Linked DNA regions of Rattus norvegicus. The protein of the gene in region 3 interacts with the protein of the main gene of each other region in a pairwise test. Links are inferred from orthologs where the notes say so. Each region holds a gene or a part of one and is shown on either strand. Other genes may lie near its edges.

The links.
Region 1: the proteins of Sdcbp (region 3) and Anp32b interact in binary tests that used the Homo sapiens proteins (3 or more experiments, as listed by UniProt). The two-hybrid records come from large-scale screens. The link is inferred for Rattus norvegicus from reciprocal best matches to the Homo sapiens genes SDCBP and ANP32B.
Region 2: the proteins of Sdcbp (region 3) and Bles03 interact in binary tests that used the Homo sapiens proteins (3 or more experiments, as listed by UniProt). The two-hybrid records come from large-scale screens. The link is inferred for Rattus norvegicus from reciprocal best matches to the Homo sapiens genes SDCBP and C11orf68.
Region 4: the proteins of Sdcbp (region 3) and Kctd6 interact in binary tests that used the Homo sapiens proteins (3 or more experiments, as listed by UniProt). The two-hybrid records come from large-scale screens. The link is inferred for Rattus norvegicus from reciprocal best matches to the Homo sapiens genes SDCBP and KCTD6.
Region 5: the proteins of Sdcbp (region 3) and Rnh1 interact in binary tests that used the Homo sapiens proteins (3 or more experiments, as listed by UniProt). The link is inferred for Rattus norvegicus from reciprocal best matches to the Homo sapiens genes SDCBP and RNH1.
Region 6: the proteins of Sdcbp (region 3) and Rundc3a interact in binary tests that used the Homo sapiens proteins (3 or more experiments, as listed by UniProt). The two-hybrid records come from large-scale screens. The link is inferred for Rattus norvegicus from reciprocal best matches to the Homo sapiens genes SDCBP and RUNDC3A.
Region 7: the proteins of Sdcbp (region 3) and Necab2 interact in binary tests that used the Homo sapiens proteins (3 or more experiments, as listed by UniProt). The two-hybrid records come from large-scale screens. The link is inferred for Rattus norvegicus from reciprocal best matches to the Homo sapiens genes SDCBP and NECAB2.

The regions. Positions count from the first base shown.
Region 1 is NC_086023.1:65,545,168-65,549,140, forward strand, and holds part of Anp32b (acidic leucine-rich nuclear phosphoprotein 32 family member B), read left to right. Parts: intron 1-3,222; coding exon 3,223-3,372; intron 3,373-3,973. UniProt on the Homo sapiens protein: Multifunctional protein that is involved in the regulation of many processes including cell proliferation, apoptosis, cell cycle progression or transcription.
Region 2 is NC_086019.1:212,162,439-212,167,007, forward strand, and holds Bles03 (UPF0696 protein C11orf68 homolog), read left to right. Parts: upstream 1-1,453; 5' UTR 1,454-1,562; coding exon 1,563-1,684; intron 1,685-2,326; coding exon of another isoform or gene 2,327-2,340; coding exon 2,341-3,097; 3' UTR 3,098-3,708; downstream 3,709-4,569. Other genes in the region: Drap1 (dr1-associated corepressor), read right to left, coding at 1-97, 196-315, 595-688, 774-846, 1,078-1,119.
Region 3 is NC_086023.1:24,311,155-24,315,341, forward strand, and holds the end of Sdcbp (syntenin-1), read left to right. Parts: intron 1-717; coding exon 718-889; intron 890-1,514; coding exon 1,515-1,606; intron 1,607-2,400; coding exon 2,401-2,455; 3' UTR 2,456-3,558; downstream 3,559-4,187. UniProt on the Homo sapiens protein: Multifunctional adapter protein involved in diverse array of functions including trafficking of transmembrane proteins, neuro and immunomodulation, exosome biogenesis, and tumorigenesis.
Region 4 is NC_086033.1:19,125,970-19,130,422, reverse strand, and holds the start of Kctd6 (BTB/POZ domain-containing protein KCTD6), read left to right. Parts: upstream 1-1,491; 5' UTR 1,492-1,536; coding exon 1,537-1,563; intron 1,564-3,546; coding exon 3,547-4,233; 3' UTR 4,234-4,453. UniProt on the Homo sapiens protein: Probable substrate-specific adapter of a BCR (BTB-CUL3-RBX1) E3 ubiquitin-protein ligase complex mediating the ubiquitination and subsequent proteasomal degradation of target proteins.
Region 5 is NC_086019.1:205,698,097-205,701,282, forward strand, and holds the end of Rnh1 (ribonuclease inhibitor), read right to left. Parts: intron 3,122-3,186; coding exon 2,951-3,121; intron 1,322-2,950; coding exon 1,151-1,321; intron 1,039-1,150; coding exon 951-1,038; 3' UTR 790-950; downstream 1-789. UniProt on the Homo sapiens protein: Ribonuclease inhibitor which inhibits RNASE1, RNASE2 and angiogenin (ANG). May play a role in redox homeostasis. Required to inhibit the cytotoxic tRNA ribonuclease activity of ANG in the cytoplasm in absence of stress.
Region 6 is NC_086028.1:87,858,895-87,862,678, forward strand, and holds the end of Rundc3a (RUN domain-containing protein 3A), read left to right. Parts: coding exon 1-156; intron 157-262; coding exon 263-420; intron 421-1,019; coding exon 1,020-1,181; intron 1,182-1,278; coding exon 1,279-1,385; intron 1,386-1,787; coding exon of another isoform or gene 1,788-1,807; exon of another isoform or gene 1,808-2,416; coding exon 2,417-2,559; 3' UTR 2,560-3,009; downstream 3,010-3,784. UniProt on the Homo sapiens protein: May act as an effector of RAP2A in neuronal cells.
Region 7 is NC_086037.1:64,412,742-64,416,714, forward strand, and holds part of Necab2 (N-terminal EF-hand calcium-binding protein 2), read left to right. Parts: coding exon of another isoform or gene 1-193; coding exon 194-218; intron 219-2,226; coding exon 2,227-2,335; intron 2,336-3,973. UniProt on the Homo sapiens protein: May act as a signaling scaffold protein that senses intracellular calcium.

The DNA.
Region 1 (3,973 bases), about 41 Mb from region 3:
ACCTAGAACTTCTGTGCCATGAAGGCTGATCTCAAACTCCTGCCTACCCTGCACCTTGTCACCTCTACCTGTGTTCTAAGATTACTGACGTGTACTACTGCCATGCCTTAATGCCTCAGCTTCCTGAGAAACTGGCCTGACCACCACCAGCTCAGACTCTGTCAAGGACGTTACAGACTTGAAGGTGGCTAGCCAGTGACACTTAAGACCTTCTCTGAGTGCAGCCTTACGGCTTGCCCTGATGTGGCAACTCCAACTGACTCATCTGGGCATTTCTGGAAGTCAGACCTGTCTTTTCTTAGCCATACTACCTACTCCTGCTTAAAATCAAAAGTCTTAGGGTTTTATTGCTAGGAGGAGACACCATGACCACAGCAACTCTATGAAGAAAAAATTTAAAAGGGTCTGGCTTTCAATATAGAGGTTTAGTCTGTTGATATTCATGGCTAGAAACGTGGTGGCATGCAGGCAGACTTGGTGCTGGAGAAGGAGCTGAGGGTTGATTCCTAGGTAGCAGGTAGTGATTATTGAGCATCTGAGCCCTCCCACCTCTTCCCTCCCTCACCCCCAATGACACCATTTTTGAACAAGGCTACATCTACTCTAACAAGGCTTCTCCTAATGAATAGTGCTACTCCCTTGGGTCAAGCGTTCAAAGATGTGAGTTTATGAGAGGCAGTCCTATTCAAACTACCACAGTGAATGTTTCCTGAGCTGCTTGTCCTTTATTTTGGAACATAGCCCACACAGGTGCATCATGGGAGGTGGGGCAGGGCAGGGTGGGGTGCACTTTCACCAAGAAGTTCAGTGTCACTCCTGCCCACTTCAGTTTTGTTCTAAAGTTTAAAAAGTTAATATGTGTGTGATGTGCAAGGGTCATGCAAGTGCCACAGTGTACATGTGGGAGTCAGGCCCATTGTGTAGTCAATTTTCTGCTATATTTTTATATGAGCGATGGGGAGTTGAGCTCACAGCACAGTAGTGCTTTCCCACGGAACAGTCCTTTTTTTTTTTTTTTTAAGATTTATTTATTATATATGAGTACACTGTAGCTGTCTTCAGATACACCAGAAGATGGCATCGGATCTCCTTACAGATGGTTGTGAGCCACCATGTGGTTGCTGGGAATTGAACTCAGGACCTCTGGAAGAGCAGTCGGGTGCTCTTAACTGCTGAGCCATCTCTCCAGCCCCCCCCCCCCCCCACGGAACAGTTTTAATATGTTGTCTTTGCTATGGCAGAAAGGCTTGTTGAAGTCCTGTTCTACCTCCCAAGTGAGACATCACATGCTTGGCTGTGTTCAGGTCGTCTTATTTTATTTTTATATATTTTTTGAGGTTTACTTTGTAGTTGAGGTTGACCTGGAACTGACTGCACTCACCTGACCAGCTCACACTCCCTTCAGCTTTCAGTCCTCTGCCTCAGCCTCCCAAGTGCTGGGATCACAGATGTCTTGTCACCATGCCCACCTTAGTTTATGAGCCAGCTTTCCTGGGGTTTAAAATGAAGTCTTCAGTTCCACCACTTGGGAGGCAGAGGCAGGAAGGTCTCTTGAGTTCCAGGATAGCCCGGCCTACACAGAGAAACCCTACCCTGTCTTGGGGAGGGTGTTTTTAGCTTTGGGCACCTTGCCTGTCTTTTTCTTAATTGCCCTGAGTTCAATCCTTGATGCTTTTTCTAGGAATACCAGGTTCCTGCCACTTATTCTTCCTTGATGACTCATGAGTACAGGCCTGAATCCAGACCACCATTGAGATTCTGAGTGTGTCTCCAGCTATAGCATTCATTGTTTCTCCTCAAAGTGCTGTTCTTTATTTCCTCGTAGGTTCGCATTTCCTTAAACCAGAACCTAAGTCCTCTCTCAATGTCCCTGTCCAACACCAGACTCAGGCCTGCATGTGGTCAACCACTTTGGGCCCTTTCCCCAGTCTCCTTTATAATCTCCATTTTGCTATTTGCCTTAGCAAATGTATTTTAGCCCGTATTTGAATGTCCTGTGGTGCTTGCCATGATAGGGTTTCTTTGTACAGCAGCAATGTTGGCTTTACATTTAGAATGCGCCTAAGTCTGCTCAGTGATAGAGCTGCCATAATATTTTGTTCCCCCTCAACCCCCTAGGGAAGTTTCTTATCATCCCACACAGTAGTTAAACTGGACAGAATCTTAGCAATTAAAAGAAGGATCAAGGAGAAAATTTTCATCCCATTTGGGAGGCAGTGTGGCATAATCTTTAATTCCTCCCCACTTGTTTTGGACATATTAGTGTCATATCTTAGGACATTTTAATTTTATTATTATACGAGAATGAAAATCGTCTTAGCTCGGCACAGTTCAGTACCAGCACTCACAAGGCAGAGGCAGTCGGGTCTCTGAGTCAGAGAAGACAGATGTCAACATCTCAAAGTCTAGGTCAGCTAGAGCTACATAGTCAGACCCTCTTTAAAACAAAACAGAAAAGATCTGAAACTGGAGAGTGTGCAGGTGTAAAAATCCTTACTAGGATTTATTTGTGACTTTTTCGTTTGAAAATGGCAAGGAAAAGCCAGGCATGGTGGTTGGTGTATGCTGTTAACCCCAGCACTTACGAGGCAGAGAAAGACAGGGGAAGTCTATGAGTTTGGGGGCAGCCTGGTTCACATTGTAGAGAGTGGCGGTAAGATCGATTATCCTGCTTCAAGCAGCAGGATCCTTGATCAAGTGCTCAAGTGCCTTGGTGACTTTTGTGGCAGAAGCAAAGTGTTCATCTCCCTATGGCCATGCCCTTCGTGGACTTGGAGAGAGAGAGAAAGCCTGAAAGGGTTTCTTCGCTCTGCACTTGAACTTAAGACGAAGCCCTTTCCAGACCCAGCCATGGAAAGGACAGGGACACAGGTTCACTTACGTTCTGAGAGCTGTTGTGCCTCTTGGTAGGATATAGAGTATGTGCACGCACCATCACCACCCACACACCCGTGTGTGTGTGTGTGTGTGTGTGTGTGTGTGTGTGTGTGTGTGTGTGTGTGTGTGTGTGTGTGTGTGTTATGAACTAGCAGTTGTCTTTGGGTCTTAGTACTATGCTGCTACAAAGCTAATCCTGCTTGCTTTATTTGTAGCTGATCCTACTCGTACATGAATGCTATTTTGAATTTGGAAGTTTCGCAGGATTGTATTTAGAGTTGTTTGCTTTTGTTGTTTCCTGTTACAGTTTTTAAAGCTTATTCCTGTTTTTGTTTATACCCACAGGTTCAAGAACTTGTCTTGGACAATTGCAAAGCAAATGATGGAAAAATCGAGGGGTTAACAGATGAATTTGTGAACTTAGAGTTCCTCAGTTTAATAAATGTAGGCTTGTTTTCAGTTTCAGACCTCCCGAAGCTACCTAAGTTGAAAAAGGTAAGTGTTTCTTTAATTTTTTAAGGGAATCACTTGAGAGGTATAAGTGTCTGGTTTTGTCTGGTGTAAGCACAATGTGTGTTAGTGCTCTGTGGCAGAAACTGAGATTTTCATCTTCATCACTAGCGGTTGTCAGGCCTGACCTGCAGTGTTGCAGCAGTGCTTTGGAAATAGTGCCTTCTGGGGAGGGGTAGTTAGTTGCTTTTCTCAATAATTGTTAATTGTCAGAAGCTCTCAGACACGTTTGTACTCAGGCTCTGGTTCAGGAGACACACAGCCTCTTACTTTTCAGTGCTTTATAGTTTGTATGCTGATGAAAAGGAAAGTGAAGACTAACTGTGTGAGTGGGGTATGTGTGGGGTGCCCTCTGAAGACATCGGATATGGGGGTGAAGTTGCGTGCAGTTTACAACTGCCCCCATGGGTAGTGAAGGTGGAACCTGTCTTGTGCAAACACAGCAAGTGCTCTTGACTGCTGGACCATCTTTAACACTATCGTGTAATTCCTTTTTATTAAGATGTATTTATTCGTTTGTTTATTTATTTATTATATATAAGTACACTGTAGCTGTATTCACCCCCACAGAAGAGGGCATCAGATC
Region 2 (4,569 bases), on a different chromosome or scaffold from region 3:
CCCGGACAGCTTTTTGTCTTTGCTTTTGCTTCCTGTGCCTCCATTCTTCCTGCCACTGCTGCCTGGTTTCCGGCCCCTTCGGGAAGGTACAGGCCATCTGCACAGAGGACTCTCTCCCCTTCTTCACCCCCCAGCCACCCCCAACCCTTGTGGCCTTGGCCTTTCCCACTTATATACCTGGTTTTGGTTACCCACCTTCGAGGACCCTTGTCCCCATCCGTGTGGTTGTCTTCCCCATCACCCTGCATGTCAGGCACAGATGCCACCAAGTCTTTCAAGAAGTCAAATTGCTGTTCAAGCTCAATGCACTGCTTCCTGTAGAAGTGGGAGAGGAAGGTGTTCAAAAAGGGCCCCCAAAACACTGATGTTCCGGAATCATAGAAACAACCTTTTCGTGTCAGTACAGTGGAACACCCCTCCCCACTTCCACCAGGCCTCCCGGGCGGGCGGCTTGGCTCTGGTTGTTCCCTCCACCTGAAACACCTTATCTCTCCTACATCAGTCCAAACCCACAAAGCTGGCCTCCCTCAGCAGCGCACCACTCCCCCTGTCAGAACACTGCCTCCTCAAAAGCCCAGCTTAGCGGCCACTCACAGGTGGGACGTGGTCATGGTTTTGGCATTTCGAGACTGGGTCACCTGGCAAGCCTTCTTCAACAGAGACTCCAGGAAGAGCTCAAGTGCCCGGGCTGAGGACGTCAAGGAGAATCCAAAAAGGGGAGTGCCGCAGTCCCGCCCCACGCCCCTCAGCCCAGCCAGCCCCTAGTAGGATACAGATGATGACAGGCACAGCTGCCGCCACCTTCCCAATCTCTTCGTCTGTCTGCATGATCTTCTTGATCCGCGCCTGCCGAGGGGAAGGGGACAGAGCTCGTCTCCTGCGTCTCTACAGGGGAGCTGAGTGAACCGGGGGGTATCCCAGGAGAAGAGGGCGGGGGGCACTAAGCCAGGAGGGCATGGAAGGGGCGGGGCGTCAGGCCATGAACACCTAAAAGCACCCGTCCCCCCACCAGCAGGACCTGGGCCCAAGCCTCCCAGGAACCTAGCCTGCAGAGGCCCATCCCGGCCACGTGCTCACCGGCGGAAACCGCGCGTTATACTTCTTCTTCTTGCTTGGCATCTCGGGGCCTCTCACGCTGCGCCGGGCCCAGCGCCGCCGCCCGCAGCCTCCAGGCCCCGGGCCTGTTCGCCGCCAGCCGGCCGCGGTTCCCCCCGGTCCTGGTGCCGCCTACTCCGCCCACACCACTTCTCGCAGGGTCCTAGTGCCGTTCGTAGAAAAGCAGCTCCCAAAACCCAAGCGCTGGGCTTTGGATCCTCTAGGGCGGTGCGCGTCCTTCTCAGGGATCGCCCGCCACGCCCACCCGCCCTCCAAGCTAAAGTACGAACGTTAGCTCCGCCTCCTGAAGACCTGCACCTCCCGGGATTCTCGCGCTGGCTCCGCCCCTGAACTCAGCCCGCCCCTTCCCCTGGAGCCCCCGCCCCTAGCCTTCTGGTTCCGCCTCTGGCCCCGCCCCGTGACTGTGTTTGTCTATAAAGTTGTTGTTGAGGTGGCGGGACCCTAAGATGGCGGCGGCGGCGGCGGCCGTGGCAGGGGCGGGGCGCGGCGGGGGTGGCGGCGCAGACCCCGGGCAGGAACGGAGCCGGGCCCGAAGTTGGGTTGGCGCGGAGCGGAGTGAAGGCCGGAGGTGACTGTGGGGCGACGAGAGGGCAGCCCGGGGGTGGAGGCAACCCTTACCTGTGAACACTAATGGCGGCGGGTGTGGTAAGGCTGGAGCCTGGTCCTCGCGCAGACTCTGTCCTATCAGGTTCGAGTCCGGATGTTGCCCATTGACCCCCAGATGGGCCGCTGTCCTCTCTGGGTCTCAGAGTCTTGGTGTTGATAAGTGTGCCCCAAATAGTTCACCATGGGAGGCCTGGCCCCTCTCCAGCCAGCCTCTGAGATTGGCGAACCTGCGTTTTGCCTACGTCCATTAAATTGCAGCGCCGCGCTACCTGCGAGACTCTAGTCCTGTGGTGTAGCAGAGTCCTGTGCCAGTTAACACTTAAGCTTTAACGGTCTTTACAGACATGACCTTGGGCAAGCCCCTTTTCTCAGAGTTTCAATTTCCTTGTTTTTAAGCAGTGAAAGTAGTACTGACAATAGCGACTCCACCTCAGGCATTTTATTCTAGAGACAAATCTAGACAGGATCAGTTGTTATCCCATTGTGAAGATGAAGCAACTGAGGCACAGACATTAAGACTTGCCCAAGGCCACAGTTAAAAGCAGTGCCTGGCACCCTCTAGGACCCAGTACTTTTTATTTACTGTCTCAAACTTCTGACTCAGTTCCCTCACAACAGGATGGAACCAAATGAAGAGCTGGAAGAGGAGGACTCTCCAGGTGGTCGTGAGGATGGCTTCACTGCTGAGCACCTGGCTGCAGAGGCCATGGCAGCTGACATGGACCCCTGGCTGGTATTTGATGCCCGTACTACACCTGCCACAGAGCTGGATGCCTGGTTGGCCAAGTACCCACCATCTCAAGTTACTCGCTATGGGGACCCAGGTTCACCCAACTCTGAACCTGTGGGCTGGATTGCAGCCTATGGGCAGGGTTACACCCCCAATTCAGGGGATGTACAAGGGCTGCAGGCAGCCTGGGAGGCTCTGCAGACCAGTGGGCGACCCATCACACCAGGTACCCTGCGCCAGCTGGCCATCACCCACCATGTGCTCTCCGGCAAGTGGCTGATTCACCTGGCACCTGGCTTCAAGCTGGACCATGCCTGGGCTGGCATTGCCCGGGCTGTAGTTGAGGGCCGTCTTCAGGTGGCCAAGGTGAGCCCACGGGCCAAGGAGGGTGGGCGCCAGGTCATCTGTGTTTACACGGATGACTTCACGGACCGCTTGGGAGTACTGGAGGCAGATTCTGCCATCCGTGCTGCAGGCATTAAGTGCTTGCTCACTTACAAACCTGATGTCTACACCTACCTGGGCATCTACCGAGCCAATCGCTGGCACCTTTGTCCCACTCTCTATGAGAGCCGTTTCCAGCTTGGAGGCAATGCCCGTGGCTCTCGAGTGCTGGATCGTGCCAACAATGTAGAACTGACCTAATGGGGCCAAGTAGGAGAGACCACCTTTTGCTTCCCAGCTGGGGATGGATCCTTCTTTCTTCTCTTCCTTGTCCCAAGAAGGCTGAGCTCCCTAGCTCTGAGGACTCATTGACTTGGGAACTGCCTGCACTCAGTCCCTTTGAACCTCTGTGCAGGGCCAACTCCAACCTCCACAGGTTTGGGGCTCTGGCTCTCTGAGGGCCAGGCCCTTGGCTGCCTCTTTGATGCTGCTCCCCACCACTGCCCAGGACCACAGCTTGGGTGCAGATACTCAAGAAAGTCTGCCCTGGCCACCTCTGTCCCTACTATACTTAGCCTGCATTCTTCCTTTTCTTTCCTCCCTCAGAAGGGAGAAAACTTAGTGCTTCCAGTCCCTGCCCTTGGAGCCATCATGGCCCAGGTGGCAGGACCCTTACAGGACTCAGCATGCTATTGGGACCCTAACGTGTTCTGGCCAAGAGGAGATGCAGGGTCGGACATGAGGTCTGCTCCTCCCTGCACACTCATAGCCTGCATCACCAATATTCCTTCCCTGGCTCCCTTGACATGTGCCTGCTCCTGGCATTTCAATAAAACCCAGCTTGGGTCTGTGTCTTGAGTGTTTTTTAAAAATACTGTCCTGATGGTTACCTGCATTGTCTCTCGAGAAAGACCAAGCTAGCCTTTTCCTCCCTCAGCAGTGAAGATGGTATGCTGCTTTGCAGAGGCCAGGCTCCACAGCTGAGAACCTCTTTAAAGCTGTTCTCCCTCTGTAACCCATGGATCAAAATCAGTTTCTTAGGTCTTTCCAGGGAGGCCAAGGGGGATATTCTTTTGGTCCCAAGGTATATTTATTTGTCATTTTATTTTATTAAGAAAAGGTCTCTTGGGTTCGGTCCCCAGCTCCGAAAAAAAGAAAAAAGAAAAGAAAAAAAAAAGAAAAAAGAAAAGGTCTCACTGTGTAGCCTCGGCTGGCCTGGAACTTACTATGTACCCTAGGCTGGCCAGTAACTCAGAAATTCATTTGTCTCTGCCTACCAAAAGTTCTGGGTTTAAAATCCTGCACCACCATCTCCAGCTTTTAGGTTTTAAAAAATTCTATTCATAGTGCCTTTAACCCCAACACTTGGGAGGCAGAGGCAGGTGGATCTTTATGAGTTCAAGGCCAGCCTGTTTAACAAGGTGAGTTCCAGGACAGGACAACCAGGGCTACCTACGTAAAAAGACCCTCATTAAAAAAAAATTCATAGCCTTTAATCCCAGCACTTGGGAGGTGGAGGCAGGTGGTTCTCTCTGAGTTCCAGGCTAGACTGGACTATACAATGAGACTCTATCTCAAAAGAGGTATGGGGGTGGGGCTGTCGACTGATTGAGCAATTAAGAGCAAGAATTATTCTTCCAGAGAGACCTTTATTTTGATTCCCACAATTCACATGGTGATTAGTAACAACCTCTGACTCTAGTTCCAGGGGATAAAATGACCTCTTCTGGCCT
Region 3 (4,187 bases):
ACTTTGAATGGAGTTGGACTAATAGGAAGGTAGAGCTGCAGACTTTCCTGCTGTAAACAGAGCACGTTCAGAAAGTCAGTCAGCGAGCATTAGTGGCATGACAGCTTCTGCAGGCAGAGCTCGAGGCCTTTTTAACTGTAGCTTGTGCCTTCCCGTCCAGTCAGGCCTCATGAACCCCCACTCACTGCTTCTCTGGTGGGTCTTTCACATTAGAGCCAAGTTTTGCCTGTAATCCCGGCCACCTAGGTGGGGTCCTGGCGCACGTGGTGGGGAGAGCTCATCCTGCAACTTACACTTTATGCATAGCACACCTAGTAAGTAAGTGAAAGGAACGAATCCGTGAAAATGTCAAAACTGAGATGTGGAAAGTGCAGGGAAGTTTAAGGCTTAAATGTCTGAGACCAGCTGGTTCCAGAGGTGCTGGAAGGACTTAGTGGTTTAGTGGAAGGGCATCTGGCTCACTGTTAACGCAAGGTATGTGGGCTGTGGAGGGAAAGCGCAGTGATAACTCCATGGAGCACTATGCTCTCTCCTCACACTAACAGGGTATCTCAGTAGTGAGTCAGTCAACCCGTGTGACATGTTAACCATAATAGATTATTAGAAACACCTAGCGCTTACTGTAGCAACATACCCCATGTGGCAGAGTTTGTAGGCATGCGTGTGTATTGAAATAGGAAGTGGAAGTTTCCGTCTAACACAGCCCTTATGCTTCAGACCCTTTGAACGGACAGTTACCATGCATAAGGACAGCAGTGGACATGTTGGCTTTATCTTTAAAAGTGGAAAAATCACATCCATAGTGAAAGACAGTTCTGCTGCCAGAAACGGCCTTCTCACTGATCACCACATCTGTGAGATCAACGGACAGAACGTCATTGGCTTGAAGGTAAGGAACTCACCTTACCTTGAAGGTAAGGATCCTGGTTTCGGTGTCATTTTTTTGTAGAAAACATCATTTAGGTGGCAGGGCTTTTGTGATGACCCCCCAGTCACACTTGGTGGGAGGTAAGTGCAGGAGCTGGGGCTCTGGCTCTAGCTTAGGCCATCCAGAAGTAACTTTGGGTTATTTGAATTACCTTTCCTATGCCAAGGTGGCTAAACTGTGATTACGGGCATTCCTTAAGCTAGAATTCTGTTGAGACATGGGCAGGGAAATATTCAGACATTCTGAATGGATGCATGGCCAATTTTTTCATTCCAGAAATACAGAAAAGGAGTAAGTCTTGGTACTTAGTAATCCTTTGTATTTTTGTAGATTTTGACTAAGTCCATAAATTCTAGAACACAGTTAACTGTGGCGCAGGTAGTTCTCAAGCAAGAAAAAAGAGTTTTGTTCCGTACCTTAACTTTGCTACTAGCTTAAGAAAATTATATGTCAGATTAAAATCAAAATTCTGACATACCGGGACTGGGACTCCAGCGATATCAGCAGGACAACATCAAAATATAGTGCCTTTTTTACCTAACAATAGAGAACACCTTAGTGAAACTTCATTCTATTGTTTCATCAGGATGCTCAGATTGCAGATATACTGTCAACAGCTGGGACTGTGGTCACCATCACAATCATGCCTGCCTTTATCTTCGAACATATTATTAAACGGTAAGTAGATTGGGAGCTCTTCCACTTATGCTTGCCAGCACCTGACACACATGTAAACACTGCCTTCGGCTTGCAGGTCTTCTGCATATTAGATTAGAAATCTGGTCACGGTGGTTCCTAATGGGTGGCTTGCCTGCGAGGTATTGAGAGTGGCTGTTGCTGTTCTCTCCTGTGTTTTAGAAAGTAGAGAGCTGCATGGTGCTCACTATCTGTCCTTGGGAACCGAAGAGGGTACAGTCATAGGCCAGCAAGGTGGTTCTATCCAGAGTTTTCAGATCCTTTGTTCCTTCATAGCTGTTGCCATGCTGTCTTGGACACACTTCTTCCAGAGCCCTGATATAGCACATGAAAGTGAGATTTGGAATATACATAAACGTAACCTTTGTAATGGATTTTTGTTTATATGTTTGGGTTTTGGGTAGAATGAAGCTAGCTACCCTCAGAGCAGGAAAAAGAGTTGATTGTTGTACAGTCTTTTTTAACTATGGTAGGTTCCTTATCCTCCCTCCTTTTCTTCTGAGTCATCACAGTCGTCCATTTCAGTTAAACAACCAGTCTTAGTGTAAAGGCCTCGCACCTTCTCGCATGTCTATCCCTGACGTAAATATCTATTCTTCCTGGACAGTTTGTGACAACTCAGATATTAGTTCCTTAGATCTGTGCTCATTTAAAGACCTTTCCTTCTTCATCAAATTCATCAGCACAACAGGTGCTAAACTGGAACTGGGGTTGTCTTAGGTGAACATGGTATTTTTGAAAATAAGACGCCAGTTACATGAGTGGCTCTCTTGTAGGATGGCTCCCAGCATTATGAAAAGCCTGATGGATCACACCATTCCTGAAGTTTAAACCTTGTACAGTGCATCACCGCCGAACGCTTCCAGTCTTCCTCTTCGGCAACTTCTCTATTTCACCGCACATGAAGCTTTCCCGGATCCAGGGAGACTGTGCTGCATGGAGACCTGTCTATCTTCCACCATGGCTGGGAACCTCACTCTATCTGAGAGCGTCTTCAGATTTTAAGATAGGTGTAGCCTTATCCTGGTTTTACAGATGTGAAACTCTCAAAAGATTCCCTGACTTTCTAGACTTGGTTCTTTACTGGGAACCTGATGTTTTTCTATAAGCCATTGTGATTAGGATGACTGGTGTAGGCTTAGCTGTGTCCGAGAACTGGTCTGCTTTCTCCGAGAAGTGCACAGTGCTAGGCACGTGCTTCAGTTCTGTGGCATATGTGGATTGTAGTACATCAGCATAGTACCTGTAGGATGATTGCCTTTGATCGCTACTTTTTAAGTTTGTGTGTGAGTGTGTAAAATTCCAGTTAATCAACACTTCCATTCCACAAAAGCATTATACAGTTCTGTGTAGGTGGCAAGAGACTAATGATTGTCACTAAATTCTAACTACCTTCACTTAATGTGCTTCAGTTGTCGCCTTAACTACAGTAAGCATTTAGAATAAAAGCCAAAATAGAATTATTGCTGCCTTCTGAAACCTGAGAGGTTAGCTCTCTATCAAGCTGTTCTATGCTAGCCCTGAGCAGCTTACTGGTGTCGCAGAGCTGCCTAGCTGTACCAAGATTTTCTAGTCACTGCATAAAGGAAACGCCTAAGAGTTGCCGTATTGCTTTCTGAGATACAAATTGCTATATATTTCATGTAAAAGTTGTTATACTAAATAGGATAAATTTTGGAGTCTCTTTTTCACTCGTAGATTAAGTGGGTAATATCTAATTTGGCACTTGAGTCCTAACATTATGTAACTTTAGCTAGGTTGGGGTGGGTTTAGAATGTTTCCCTAGTCATCTCAGTTTGTTCCATTTTCTGACTCTATCCTGCAAACAAAAATGGCAATGACACTTTATCCTGACTCTTTCCTTCTTAGTTTGTGCCTATCTTATTATTTTATGTGATATTATCCTATTAAATGTATAAAAATATTAAATGTCAGTCTGTCTGTGATTGCATCAGTCCTTACTGTGAGGTTGCCTGACACCCAGGGTCTCTTAAGACAGTCCTAGAGCTCAGACTGTCTGGCAGTACACTAGCTGGGAGTCTTTATTGGCCAGGCCGTGGCCCTCTTCACCCTGCACACTTGATGTCATGGGACCACACTTGCTGGGAGGCCTAGATGCCCAGCCTGTGGCCACCTTCTCCCTGCATACCGGGCGTCAAAGGAACCTGGAAAGGCTGCTGGGTCCCTAGTAAAGCCAGAGACCATCCACATGTATTAGTGACACTTAAAACTAACTCGGGGTTCTACTACTTTAGTCTGGCTCAAGAATTTGTCCTTTTCACTGTAACCATGCTTCCAATAGCACAGAAAATTTGTAGCTGCTGTTCAGAGACTGAACGGAAAAAAAAAAAATCTTTGCAGGCTCTATATAGGCTACCTTGTTGGAAATTTATAATTCCCAGTTTGATTATCTACCTTGCTCTATGGACTTGTTCTGAATGTAGGTCCAAAAGAAATGAAATTGTATTTGTGTCATTAAGTATGGTTTTGTAGAAGGATTAGTACTTGTGATTATTTAAATAAGACAAGGGAGAAAGTGCTTTCATTACAGAAAAATATTTTT
Region 4 (4,453 bases), on a different chromosome or scaffold from region 3:
TATTGAGGCAGTTGGGGAAGAATACTTCGAGTAGTAGGAAGTGCCTTTAATTCCCTCCATTGTTGGTGCGCTGTTATCTGTAGTGGAACCAACACATTGGTAAGGCTCATTTCTTCCTTTACCTCAGATGGGGGTTTGTGGAGTTTAGTCAGAGGGATGAAAAGGCGTCACAGCAGCTCTGGCCTCTCATTTGTTCATCTCACCATAGTAGTACTCAGGCCTGGTCCGCCTGCAGCCAGCCGCCTGGAGCGGAGGAAGGCAGCTGACTGCCTCTCCTTGAGTTTTATTTGCTTTGAAGAATGTGTAAAGGTAGAGACTAGCGGCTGCAGGCTCTGGTTTCGTCCCCTGCTGTGCCATGCAAATGTTCTCCACACGCCTGATTGACCTTTTGAGAAAGAGCCTTTGTGATCTTCTGCAGCCAGGCCTTGTTCTTGTGCTGGAAATGGGGGCCAGATTCCTCCAAAAGTGGGATAAACGGATCTTCAAAGACCACATACAGAGCAAGCGACGTTCCTGGGTGAATACGATGGGCCCCGAGGCTCCTGCCTTCTTTGCTAGTGATTTTGAAATCTGCTCTGCGGTTTGCTGGACAGGTTGATTTGGGGAATGGCGTGCCCAAGAGGGAACTGATGAAGTGAAGGCAGCTGAGTAGCTGGGTAAGGCTAGCACGCCCTTGAATGGTAGATAAAAACAGATTGAAGCAGGCAGCACTGAGTGACCCTCAGCCAGCTCCATAAGTGTCTTTTTTGTCCCAAATTGCGCCCTAACAGTTTGTCATTTAAATTGGTTTGTTTTTATGTACAAAGAGGAATACGTCATGATTAGAAACCCTGATTGAATTTTTTTTTTATAAGATACTATCCTGGTGTGTTTCTCTTGGAAAATGACTGTTACTTTTGAAGCTCACGACTTTAAATGCTTTTACTGAGATGTTTGGTTTATGCAGCTGGCATGGTGATCCAAAGGAATCTCCCTCCTTTTCCCTCAAATGACCTTTTCGATGAAGTTCAAAAATTGGTCATGAAGGTCATAGGACCCAATCGTGACGTTCTCTGAAAATGTAAAAATCACACCTCTGCGGGAGTGACACAACGTGTAAATTTTCTTATGGCATTTATTTTGTGTGTGTGGGTGCGTGTGAGTGAGTGTGGGGTCAGAGGACACGTGTGGAGGTCAGTTTTTTCTTTCCACATGAGGGTCCCAGGGACCAATCCCAGTAGGGATCACCTACTGAGCCATCTTGTCAGCCCGGATGACAGGATCGCAATGGTCCCTTCCTCTCTCCCCAAGCGTAGGCTAGTTCTTTGTGCCCCGCGGGCTCCCGAGGCGAGGACAGAGCATGGCGTGGTTTTTCCACATCTTTGGCCTGCTGTAGCTTCCAGTTGACCTGTTCCATAAATGAGCAGTTTTTGTGAGGTTTGAATAACTACATTTGGCAGAACATTTTTCTTCTCCATTGTCATGGTTGTGTGTTTGGTTTTCTTCTTCCAGAGTTTCCCTGGCTTCTGAGCTCCTGGAGACGCAGTGCTGGAGCAGATGGATAATGGAGACTGGAGCTATATGGTGAGTGCTTGCTCACTTTGCGGGCTCCCAAATAATTTGGATGTCTTTTCGCATTCATAGGTTTACTTGAAAAGGATGCAGACTATGGATTTTTCCAGCTTTATCTAATTCCCCATGTATTTGGGGAAGGGCATTTTTATCTGGTTTGACGTTTTTAGACTCAATGGGTATTCTCCAAATAGCCCTTTTTTGTTATTATGTGTGGGAGGAGCAGTGCATGCAGTACCCGTAGAGGCCAGAAGAGGGCGTGTGATTTCCCCTGGAGCTACTGCAAGCTACCTGAATGGAGCTCAGGTCCACCTCACTAGCACATGGCATTTAACTCCTGCCATCTCTCCTGCTCCCATAGTAACTCCACTAACTGCAGATACACCTTGATGTTTCGGTCGTTGGTGTATATTGCTTTTTACATTCTCTGTTCATGGGATGGTGATGTTTAAAGGGCCTATGAATAACGGAACGGAGACTGCTTTATTGTAGGAATGGGATTAATAGTTAGAAAGTGGTTCTTCTCTCATGCAGTTTTCACATGCGTCCGTGCATCCCTATTTCCTTCTCTATCTGGTAAGACATATTTTTGCTTTCTTAGTACCTGAAGACCATTTCTTGTTTTTCCTTAAATAGGATTTCTAAAGCTGAATGTGTGGGGTTTTTTTTGTTTGTTTGTTTGTTTGTTTGTTTGAGAAGCTTGCTTCTCAGAATTAAAGGTCAGATTACAACGTTAATGTTATAAAAATGAATACACGATCAGATATGACATTTTAAAGCCGCTACCGGCCGTTTGGCACGTGGTAGTTTGGGGCTAGTAGATGGGCTAGATTGGGTTCACCAAACCATGTATTTTAATTTAGTGTTTGGAACTCATTTCCGGGGCATGGTGGCACAGGCCTGTAATATCCTGTAATATCAGCCCCTGGGAGGTAGAGGCTTATGAGTTTCCGGCCTGCTTTATCTGTATAGTAAGATGCTGTCATAACACCACCACCACCACCAACAACAACAAAAGGCAGAAAAGAAGAAACTGATGCTTCCCTGAAAAAAATTACTAAGAATGATTCTGAACAAATTTTTGTTTTTAAATACATTTTGGGAGATGGGTCAGCAGTTAAGAGTGCTTATGCTCTTGCAGAGGACCTGGGTTTGGTTCTTAGCACCTACTCCATGACTCACAACCATCCACAACTCCAAGTTCCTAGAACCACACCATTGGCTCAGATGAGGCACACGTACATACATACATACATACATACGTACGTACGTACATTCACGGCTGGGTGAGACAGTGCACACCTGTGATCCTAGCACTGTCTCAGCAGTGGGACAGAGGTAGGAGAATCAGGAATTCTAGACCGCCCTTAGCTACACAGGGAGTGTGAGGCCAGCCTAAGTTATCCGAAACTTTGTCTCAAAAAAAAAAAAATTAGATCTCGAGACTCCTTTGAGGAGAAAAATCCAACAGAATCCCTAAATTAATTATTGTTACATTATCAGATTATTTTTATATTCTAGCTTATGTTAGATTTTTTTTTTTCTTTCTTTTGGAGCTGGAGACCGAACCCAGGGCCTTGCGCTTGCTAGGCAAGTACTCTACCACTGAGCTAAATCCCTAACCCGCTTATGTTAGATTTTAAAAAAAAGGGAAGGTTTTGTCAGGTGTGGTGGCATGCACCTTTAATCCTAGTACGGGGGAAGTAGAAGCAGGCAGATGTGACCCAAAAACCTCTTTAGATTCGCTAAAGGTCAGACCTGGCAGGGTTATGGCAAACTTTTGAAGGATTAGATTTACTCTGCTTGAAAGCAAATGTTGAAGCCATTCTCTTGGGCAGGTTTTATCATTGGAAATAAAGCCATTATGGCCCCTAGTGCTTCCAGACACATTAGCTTGAAAGGGTCTGTGCCTTGCTTGTTAGTATTGATTTTTTAAATTTGTTAGTTAAGATTTTTAAGGTTTCAGGTAATTAATTGGATTTTTAAAAATTTCAGATGACTGACCCAGTCACGTTAAATGTAGGCGGACACTTGTACACGACATCTCTTACCACGTTGACACGCTACCCGGATTCTATGCTTGGAGCTATGTTTGGAGGTGACTTCCCCACAGCCAGAGACCCTCAAGGCAATTACTTCATCGATCGAGACGGACCGCTTTTCCGTTACGTCCTCAACTTCTTACGGACTTCAGAATTGACGCTCCCCCTGGACTTCAAGGAGTTTGATCTGCTTCGGAAAGAGGCCGACTTCTACCAGATCGAGCCCCTGATTCAGTGTCTCAATGACCCTAAGCCTTTGTATCCTATGGATACTTTTGAAGAAGTTGTAGAGCTGTCCAGTACTCGGAAGCTTTCTAAATACTCCAATCCCGTGGCTGTCATCATAACCCAGTTGACCATCACCACCAAGGTCCATTCCCTACTGGAAGGCATCTCAAACTATTTTACCAAGTGGAATAAACACATGATGGATACCAGAGACTGTCAGGTCTCTTTCACCTTTGGACCGTGCGATTACCACCAGGAAGTCTCCCTTCGGGTCCACCTGATGGAGTACATTACGAAGCAAGGCTTCACGATCCGCAATACTCGGGTGCATCACATGAGCGAGCGGGCCAATGAGAACACAGTAGAGCACAACTGGACTTTCTGTAGACTGGCCCGCAAGACGGACGACTGACTGGCGGCCAGCCCTCAGAGAATTTCCTGCAAGCTCACGTTTCGGGACATGGAAGAGACTTGTTGTTTAGTGTGGGCCCTCCTTTTTCCTTTTTTTTTTTTCCCCTCCAGTCTTTGTATTTATTTGAAGGCACTGAGGACCAGAAGGAAGTTTTGTGTGTGAGCGGTCCCCTCCCTGTTTTGTTCCCAAGTATGCATGTGCCTGTTCCGAGTCTCTAGAA
Region 5 (3,186 bases), on a different chromosome or scaffold from region 3:
AACAAAGTTCCATAGGATTTGACACAGACATAAATGTTTGCAGAACACCCATACACATAAAAATAAATTTGCACATGCGAAGAACTTGAGAGGCGAAGAACAGGCAGGTCTCTTAAGGGGAGCTTGAGAGTACACTGTAGTAGTCCTCAGACACACCAGAAGAGGGCATCAGATCCCATTACAGATGGTTGTGAGTCACCATGTGGTTGCTGGGAATTGAACTCAGGACCTGTGAGGACTAGCCAGTGCTCTTAACCACTGAGCAATCTCTCCAGCCCAACCTTGAGGATTTCAACCTTTTATAATTTGGGGGTTTTAGACTTTAGAGATTTTGATCTCTTATGGTTTGCTTTGTTTTCAACCTTTTTTGTATTGGGAAGAACTTTACCACTGAGGCTTACCCCAGTCCCAGGAGTTCAGGTATGGGAATGTATCTTTCAGAGTCATTCTTGACTGTTGCAAGCTGAGCTCCTCCTCACTCACACTCCTCAGTGTGGGCAGGAAGATTTCAGCTCTGAAAGTCCCTTTAAGGCCTCCCTTGGAGCAAGGTGTAATAGCACACAGCTGGAAACCCCTCCACACTGTCTGTAGTCCCAGTCTTCATATTGAAGGCTGGCCAAGGCTACAGTAGCAAGACCCTGGTTTTTTAAAAAGGCTACCTTTGAGACTGAGTAAGGACCCACTGCTGGGCTGAGCATATGCATGAACTACGCCATACACAGGGCAGTCATAGCATCATGGGTCCATAGCAGAGCTACACCAGCCCACAAATGATGATGAGGACCTTTCTTGCCAACAAAGTATTTTAATAGTTATAAAGTGTCTTAAAGTTTTCTACTGAAGTAAGATCCCAATGCTTATCGCCAGTCAACCCTAGGACACCCAAAGCCAGAGATCTGGTGGGCTGCCTCTGGGGCTGGATTAATATCTTGTGTCCAGAGGTGTACATCTCAGGAAATGATCCTCAGGGATGGCCTTTCCTCCTCCAGGGCCCGAAGCTGGTCTTCCACCTCATCCGTCCAGTAAATGTCATACAGGCTGTACACAGGCAAGCAGGAAAGATGAGTCGGGGTGCCCCTATTTACTATGCCCATCTTCCTGACAACCCTCTGAGCCACGTACACCACCTTCACCAACTACATCCACTTACACAAGCTGCTGAAGGGCGCAGCTGGGCTGTTTGAGGCTCTCCAGCAGTTGTAGGACACCGGTGTCCCCCATGCAGTTGTTACTGAGGTCCAGTTCCCTCAAGCTGCGGTTGGCCAGCAGGACAGTGGCAAGGCTGCTGCAGCCACTGTCTGTCACATCACAGTCTCCCAGCCTGGGTCGGGAGGACAGAGCTGTTCACATCTGAGCTTTGGCGGGAAGGCAGCCCTCCACACTTCAAATGTAGCTAAGCTTCCCTTGGCTGGATTAGAGAACTCTGGCTTCATACTCATGTCTCTCAGCACCAGGAGCCTGGCTAGGTCAGAAGCCTGTGCACCAAGGCTAAGCTACATCAGGATGCCCACTGAAAGTGGCAGGGTAGGCAGGCTTCCAGACTGAGGGAGAGTGGGACACAGGCCAAAGGTAAGTGGTCTAGCATCCATACCAATCAGAGGGAGCCCAGGAAGCCAGAATACTAGGGAGTACAAGGTACAAGTAGGCCAAGTGACATCAAGAAGCTGCTATAGATTGGCTCCCTGAGGTGTGCCCGAAATTTGCAGAACTGTATCTGTAGGTGATTGTAGCGGGCCCCAAGTCTCATGGAACAGGACCCACACTTCTTTCCCCAAGATTTCCAGATTATCCCACAATCAAGATGCTAGTTCCTGGACAGGAGAGACTACAGGGCTGTAATCCCCGTAGTGGCCTGGCCCACCCGTCAACTAGTGTCCAGTCCAGAATGACCGAGAGGCAAGATGTGCTGCCACAGAAGGTAAGGCTGAGGTAAATGGTAAAAGACAAAACACTAAGAGCAAAATGATACTCTGGACTGGCTAGAAAATGGGGAATCTTAGAAATGAGAACAAAAACTTAAAAAGAGGACAGGAATTGAATTGTTCTCCCTTAAAACCCAAGGACTGACTCCTGGATGCTGAGGGAGAAAGGAAAAGGAGAAAGATCAAGAAAGCACATTACTTGTCCAGGCCAAGACCCACATATAGGCAAATCAATAGCCCAGAGCACAATGGGTAGGAAAATTTAAGAGCTGCCAAAGAGGGCTGGGCTTACTTCCTGCCAAGCCCAACAAAGTGAATTCCATGCTTGGAACCCCATAGTAGAAAGACAACTGCAAGTTATTTTCTGACTTGCACATGCATACATGGTGTATGAACTTGGGCAAACACACGGGTAAACAGAAATGTAAAATTTAAAATCTGCCAAAAAACCAGGGGTGGTGACTCATGCCTTTAAATCCCAACACTTGGGGGGCAGATGCAGACAGATCTCTGAGCTCAAGGACAGCCTGGTCTACAAAAGCTAGTCCAGGACAACCAGGGCTCTGTTATACCAAGAAACCCTATCGTGGAAAACCAAGGAAGGAAAGAAGAAAGAAAAACTGCCAGAAAATAAAGTAAAATAGGCAGACACACAGGACACAGAGATCTTCCTGTGGCACAGCAGAGATCTCCCTGGAACCAGAAAGAAATAGAAATAAATACCCCAGGCTCTACATCTAGCTCAGTGACCAGCATGCACAGAGTACTAGAAACAAGAGTACTAGAGTGTAGAACTCATGCTTGGAAGGTAGAATGTGACTAAGGAAATGAAGGAACCCAGGCCCGGTGGTACAAGCTTATCCCTAGCACTCAGAAGGCAGAGACAGATATATTTCTGAGTTTGAGTACCAGGGCTACACAGACCCCATTTCAAAAGGGGGTGAGACAGGTCATCTCTCCCTGGGGCTTCTCACAGAAGGTGGCCAGAACGTGGAGCTATGCCTGCCTCTACAGCGCAGCACACTTACCAAAGCACACGCAGCACTGTGTCCGGATAGCCCAGGGCCTTGCAAAGCTCCACGACTCCCGAGTCTCCCAGCGGGTTGCTGCTCATTTGCAGCTCAAACAGAGAACGATTTTTGGTCAACACCGAGCAGAAGTGGGGACAAGAGGCAGCTGTGAGGCTACAGGTCTTTACCCTGTGGGAACAAAAAGGCTGGAGCCAGTAGCTCCACCTAGCCCTTCCCTTGGAGGTCCAGGAAGG
Region 6 (3,784 bases), on a different chromosome or scaffold from region 3:
CTGACGGATGAGGAGGAGAGGCACAGTGCAGAGAGCAGCACCAGCGAGGACAACTCACCAGAACACCCCTACCTGCCCCTCGTCACCGATGAAGACAGTTGGTACAACAAATGGCACAAGATGGAACAGAAGTTTCGCATTGTCTACGCTCAGAAGGTGCGCGGGGCGAGGCGCGGGGAGCTGGGCGCTGTGGGGGCAGGGCCTGGGCTGGGACCCCAGCCGGGACCCCTTTGGGTGTCCGGGCTGAGCCGGCGCCCCGCAGGGATACCTGGAGGAGCTGGTGCGTCTGCGGGAGTCGCAGCTGAAGGACCTGGAGGCGGAGAACCGGCGGCTGCAGCTGCAGCTGGAGGAGGCAGCGGCACAAAATCAGCGTGAGAAGCGGGAGCTGGAAGGAGTGATCCTGGAGCTGCAGGAGCAGCTGTGAGCCCGCCTCCCGCCCTGACCCCTGTGAACCCCAACATGACTCCATTGGATGGGATCATGAGGACATCCAATTCGCATCAGCCCACTCATCCCATCCTCTTTCCCAAGATCCTGTGGTGGCCAAACATTACCTGCCCCCCACCTTAAAACCTGGCAGCTTCCAATACCCATCAGCTAGCGACACCAACCATTCCTCACAGGACCTAAGCAGGCTTGTTTTATTGTGCACCATCCCCATTGTACAGACCTCTGATAGGCATCACCCAGTGACACCCCCTCCCCCAACCTGGAACATTACCTCCCCGAACCTGACCCAGCTAGCTAGCACAAACCCCACCCCTTCAAGAACACCCACCCTTTCTACTCTCCTCCCGACAACATCCCAACTGATTTCTAAACACTCCATCACTAATCCTGGCCACCTTACTAAGGAGCAGAACTTGTGAGCCTCTTACCTCAGAGATCCTAGTGCCATAATTCCAGACATGTGCCACCCTCCCTGAGCAGCATATATCCCCATTTTTTTTACCACTCAAATTTCCTTTCTAAACCCTGGCCCCCACCTTTGCTGAGACTTGCTTCCCTCTCCCAGCCAGGCCTGATCCCCCTCCCCCTCCCAGGACAGGTCTGATCCCCGGTGACCATGCCCCCCTGGCCCAGGGTTCCAAGGAGCTCACCACAGCCCTGGTCAACCAGTGGCCCTCCCTGAGCACACTCAGTAGACCGGAGGGTGCCAGCAACTCCAAGCTATTTCGGAGGTAAGCCTCAGCCGAATGCTATCCCCACATCCCAGTCCCAGGAAGCAGGGCCTGGAGCTGTGGGTAACTCCCCACACCCTTTCCTGTTTTGCTATAGACACAGCTTCATGAGTACGGAGCCCCTGTCTGCAGAGGCCAGCCTGAGCTCAGACTCCCAGCGCCTGGGTGAGGGCAAGAGGGACGAGGAACCCTGGGGCCCCATCGGTGAGCACACCCTGCCCACACACTTCAGAAAGTGAACAGGCCCGGTAGTCAGGCCATGGCTGAACCCCTTATTCTCTCAGCCCTTCCTGTACTTATATGCCAATGAGGAGCTTGGCCTGGGGTTTCAAAAAAAAAAAAAAAGTCCCAACTTGGGCTGTACCTCTTCAACCTTTAAACTTGGTCAGCCTCTGTACTTTGCTGACCCATTATTTCCATCTGTAAATTAGAGATATTGGGAACAGGAACCTCCAGGGTGCATGTATGGAGAGGGCTCAGTGGCTTTTTACTGTCATGACATCCTCACAGGGCTACTCCCGGGATTCCTCAGCCTAGTTAGTTCTTCCCACACGCACACTGTGAACTCCTGCCTGACCAATGTTTCCCCTTCTCTTTGGCTGCCAGGAAGCTCAGAACCAAATTAGTGGCTCCCTCCGAGTGAATGCCCAGGACTTCAACGCATGCGTTTTGTGTTGACCCCCCCCCTCCACCTTGGTTACGCCCTTCCTAGTTTCCCCCCATGCCTGGACCTCCTGTCTTTTTTTTCTTTAATATATAGATATATAATTATACTGTATCAGATAACTTGACTTTGAGGCAAGGCAGGCTTTGGACATGTAACCTAACCACACTGTGTTTGTGACTCTGTGTGTGTGTGTGTGTGTGTGTGTGTGTGTGTGTGTGTCCCACCAGACTGTGAGCTCCACGCGGGCAGGGACCATGTCTTGTCCATTCTCTGTATCCCCAGAGTGTGAAACAGAGCAAATGCTCACTGTGTGCTTAATAAATGGACAAAGAGAGGCTGAACCTCAGGGGCAGACAGAGACATAAACTGATGGTTTATGACACAGTGTCTCAAGCCCTGTGCAAGGGATGTTCAATCAAGGTTTAATTAAAAATGGCTGATGCTGCAGAAGAGGCCGTGTCTCCTAGGGATGACATGAGAATAGCCCCCTTTCTGCCCACCAATGAGGACCTCCTCCCCACATACACGCAGACCGGTTGGCCCAGCCTTACCCGCCCTCTCTCCCCAGGGAAGGACCCCACGCCCTCCATGCTGGGCCTCTGCGGCTCCCTGGCCTCCATCCCCAGCTGCAAGTCCCTGGCGAGCTTCAAATCCAACGAATGCCTGGTGAGCGACAGCCCTGAGGGCAGCCCAGCACTCAGCCCCAGCTGAGGAGCAGCAAGGGCAATGCCAGCCCCACCTGCCAGGGGCCATGGACAACTGCCACCTTTTGAGTCCCCCACCCCAGGCCACCCTTCAAGAACAATACCCAGCTAGCCTCAGGTCCCAGCTAGCCTCGGGTCTCTAGGGAAAGACAACCTGAGCCTCTTTCCTGCTTCAGCTTCCTGCCAAAGAGGCAGGAGCTACATGGGGAAGTGGTGGGGCAAGGAGGGACGCCCAGGTTACAGGTCGTCAGTCCCCTGGGGAAGCCACTCCATTCCGTGGTCCTGAAGGCTGCCTGGTTCCTTCTGTTCATCTTCCACACTTGCCTCAGAAGCAGGTGGTCCAGCCCTGGCATTCCTGCTGCCCTGCCTCTGGTCTAACCCTGTGTACCCTCTGAAGTCACCCTTCCTCGGTACCTATGTGGGGAGAGATTAGGCAAATAAAAACCAGAGGACTGAAGTGGTTTCATCTGTTGGAGAATGGGGTAAGGGCTCCACAACAGGGTCTCTTGGCCAAGGTAACCACACCAGGAGCATGTGCCCTGTGGGACCACATAGGGCCATAATTCAGGGTGTGGGCTTCGGCGTCTGGGTCTCCAGGTGCATTCTGGATCTGACCCCTCTAATACTTTAATCCCTAGCAGAGCCCTGAGGGTGTGCCTTAGTGGGTTCAGTGCCTGCCATGGGCCTAACCAACTTACAACTTTGGGATGGAGCCCAAAATTGTAGTTATGCCAGAGCTGGCAAGAGAACAACCCTGTCCCAATGACACCACCTTAGCATGTTCTTGGGGAGATGGCTCCTTGCTCTCACCCCAACACAGTGGGTCCCATCTGAAAGGACCTCACTACCTACCACACAGGAAACCTTTCACCCCTATCGTCTGGGTACTCCACGGTGTTTGGAAACTTGTAAGACAGGGTCTCTGGCTGGCCCAGAACTCACTAAGTAGACCTGGCAGGCCGCAGATCTGCCTGCCATCAACCCTCTGGTGCTGGGATTGAAGGTGCGTGCTACCACACCTGGAGATGCCAGCCTTCTCTGTTTTTCTGTGAAAATGCAATTTGGCTATGTAATCGCACCTGGCCTGGTACTCAAGGCGCTCCTCCTGTCTCAGCCTCCCATGTGTCTAACTAGAGACCCCAACATGTGCACACAAACCCCCAAGACACCTCAGCCACAGCAGTGCACAGAAGATCATCATCTTTAGACAGGGAACAAATGGCTGGGAATTC
Region 7 (3,973 bases), on a different chromosome or scaffold from region 3:
GCTTATGGAGGATGGGGAGGGCCTCTGCCTGCTGCAGTCTCTCCAACCTGGGTCCCAGCCTGGAGGTCTCCTGGGGAAGTTTGGGCTTCACCCAAGCTGTTCCTGGGAGAGGGATCTCAAGCTGGGTTACGAGGCTGCTCAGGGCACCTGCCCAGACTCATCTCAGGACTGACTCCAGCCCTCCTCTCTCCAGATTTTCCGCCGTGCGGATAAAAACGGTGAGTTTCCTTCTAGGTGCTTCGTTGCCCGCACTCTCCCTGTCCTGGTGCTTCATGGGAAACAGCTAGGGGTGGGAACATGGACGACTATGGACCTGAGGGTGAAGAGTGCAAGAAATCCAGAGGCTAAGTGCTGTCACTGCTCTGTGCCTCGGTTTCCCCTTCTGTAAGCTGACGTGGTAACAGCTGTCCTGTGTTGCCCTGAGCTTTGGGGTGAGGTAAAGAGATGTACGTGGGTGACCTACAACACTGCAGAAGAGAACCCTTGCCTGTCACCTGCCCTGAGGCCCTTCCCAAGTGGGTTTTAATTCAAGGTGGCTCCGGCCTTGTCCACCTCCTCTGCCCTTCCTAGGAGCTGTTGTTAACTGTCCCACGTGGTTGTGGGTTGGGATGGAGCTCTTTGGGATCTGGAAGGACAGGGGGACAGGCTTGGGCTAGGATCATTATAGAGGAGTGTTGCCCTCTTGGGCCTGTCCCAGGGATGGTATGCATCTTCCCAGGCCTTGGGGACCACCTGCAGATTCCACACACAACACAGGGATGTAGGGTACCAAAGGTGTGGTAGCACTGTGCAGAGCCTATACTACCCAGGGAAAGAGGCCTGGCCCCTGCCCCCCACACAGGTCACAGGAGTGTCAGCTTGGAGCCTTAGACTGCACCCTCCTGACCCCCACCACTCCCACAGGTTGGGTGATTGAACTTGTCTTCTCCGTTGAGGCCATTGTGCCCAAAGCACAGGAGGGCCTCTGTGCCAATGCATACATCTGCCAATGTATGCAAGATGCCTTCCATTATGAGAACAAGGCTGAGTGTCTCTGGGAGGCTCTCATGATTGACTAGCTTGGATGTGGTAGACACGGGGTAGCTAATCCCCAAGGGAAGGCTAGTGTGAGAGGCCTGGGTATCACCCTCAAAGACTGGCATTGTTGTTCAGCAGAAGGGTGAGGACCAGCCAGCCCTTCCATCCAAGGATGTGAGGCTCACAGGTTCCTGCTATTTGAAAGGTCATTGCTGCAGGCTGGGCTCCTGCTCATTAGTAGCACCACCTGCAAACAGCCCCACTTGGGTCATTGGCAGAGGTGATGAAACTGCAGGACAACTTGTCTTCTCTAATTGGACCAGAGGCCAAGTGGAGGATATTTTCCTCTTAATAGCTCATCTGTGCTCATTAGGCCTGTGACTAGCACCCAAGGTAAATGTCAGAGGATCTGCAGGCCCTGTCTTCCAGCTTCCTGTTCTCTCTGGGTACAGAGGACACTGAGGTACCATCCATGATAAGCAGGTGGAAACAGTCAAGAGGGAAGCCTGGCCTGGTGTTAGCACACCCCATGCTGTGCCCGGGACAGACATGACTAATCAATTACAGCACACATTCATTGAATCTAGCATTGGCTTCAGCTTTTCCATGCAGCCCAGCTACGCCATGAAATATGGAGCCACTGACTACCCCTCACCCAAAAGGTGGGGGACTGTGCTGTTACCTACCATGTGGCACAAAGTCCTGCTCTAGGGTAGGTTGAAGGTCTGAGCTCAGCCTGCTGTTGCCTTGAGGAAGGACGGAATAGAAGGACTATCTTCAGACTGCTTCAGAGCTGGGACCTGGGGCTTGGATTGAGCATGATCCCTGATAGGCTAGTGGTATCAGGTTAAGCATGTTGCTTAAATAATGTCTATGTAAGGGGGCTGGGGATTTAGCTCAGTGGTAGAGCGCTTACCTAGGAAGCGCAAGGCCCTGGGTTCGGTCCCCAGCTCCGAAAAAAAGAACCAAAAAAAAAAAAAATAATGTCTATGTCAGATGACTGAGGGGAGAGCAGAAGGGGTGATTGCCTGATAGAGCATGAAGGTATCTGCTCCCCAGAAACCAGTTGTCTCCGATGGTTTGGGATTACCTGTCAGTAGGCCTCAGGCTGACAACAGGGAGTTTGTCAGCTGAGGACAGGCTGTAGGCTACCATGCGCTCTCTTCTCTGAGACAAGCAGTCACTTGTTTCCTTGCCTGTCCATTGCAGACGACGGGAAACTGTCCCTTGAGGAATTTCAACTGTTCTTCGCGGATGGCGTCCTCAATGAGAAGGAGCTGGAGGGCCTCTTCCACACCATTGATTCAGACAACACCAAGTGAGCCTGGGCTACTGTGGGGCACCCTGGGATGTGTGGGCTCCTCCCTTCTTCACAGTGCCAAGGTCCTGTTTAAGGGCAAGAGGCCTAGAACTCCCCTGACTCAATAATTCAAAAGTCAGACTTACTTGATCCTCGCTGCCAAGCTGCCTGAGCCCCGTGTGTGTGTGTGTGTGTGTGTGTGTGTGTCCCACAAAGTTTGTCTTTTCTGAGCGACCTTGGCCAAACGGGGAGAGACCCTGGGCCTGCTGCAGTATACGCAGGACTGATGGGAAGTTGGCTGTGGCCCTGCCTGCTATCTCTCCATTCAGTTCTAATCCCAGCGTGACCTCAGACACCGCTTTCCCTGTGAACCACCATCCCAAACCACCCTACAGTGTCTATGAATCCCAACTCTAGCCTGAACTCCACTTCTGTCTTTTTTTTTTTTTTTCTGGAGCTGGGGACTGAACCCAGGGCCTTGAGCTTGCTAGACAAGCGCTCTGCCACTGAGCTAAATCCCCAACCCCTGTGAATTCCACTTCTGACCTTGGAACAAAATGAACTTGTTTCTGTAACCCACTAAGAACTTGGACCTGTGACTCAGCCTCCCAGGACACCTGGCGTCCAGAGCCAGCATAAGTGTGCAGTGTCCTTCACTCATCTTTGTCTGATGCCCCTGAATTCTGCCTGGGTGGGCAACAGCCACCTGGTCACCTTCCTCTGCCCCACTGAGGTGCTGAGGACTAAAGTTTCTAGGGGTGCTAGGGCAGGTGGGATCACTTGGGGGGCCCAGAGCCTAGCGGTGATGTAGGTACATGGTTACTACCGGGCCACTTTGCAGTTTGCTTGTAAAGTGGTAGCCAGGAACTGAGGCTGGAGACCTGACAGGGTGTAATTTTCTGAGGATGTCTTTTGGTTCTCATAGTAGAGCAGGGCTCTCTGTGTCCAGGCCATCTGAGGTCTTAGCTTCTCTGCAGCCTCTTGGGCACACATTCTTGGGATGCAGAGGCAAGCGGACCTCTGAGTTCAAGGCCAGCCTGAGTGAGTTCCAGGACAGCCAGGGCTACACAGAGAAACCCTGTCTCAAAAAACAAACAAACAAACAAACAAACAAAAAGATCCAAAGAGGTTGCCCTGAAGGATGGGGTGGGGTTGGGGGATCTATCCCTATAGGGAAGGTCACAATTCTGAAGACATTCTGGATTCTTGACTCCAGTATTCCCTGAAGTAGACATAAGAAGCAACATTTCCGGTTGTCTGAGGCACTCCAAGGCAGTCGCCGGCCTTGGAATCTACAGACAACCTTTTCTCAGATGGGCATGGCATCTACCAAAAGCAGTCCTGAGCCAGGGTAGAGGCTAGGCCCAGAGAGGAGGCATCAGACCCCACACAGACCCTGCTGGTCCCTCTGCTGCAGCTTCTGGTGCTGATGCCTTCACGCACCTCCCCAGATCTGAGCAAGGACCAGCTCCTTCCCTGCTTTAGTCTAACAAGTGAAGTTCAGGGCTAGAATAGAGGCTGACCCAGAGCCCCAAGAGTCCTAGGAGGGGCAGTAGTATTGTTTTGACAACTTTTGATAGTCACAGCCCACCCTGCAGCCCTTTCCCGTCTCCCAGGCTCAGCCCTTGACTAGTCCCAGCTACTCAAGATACGGCC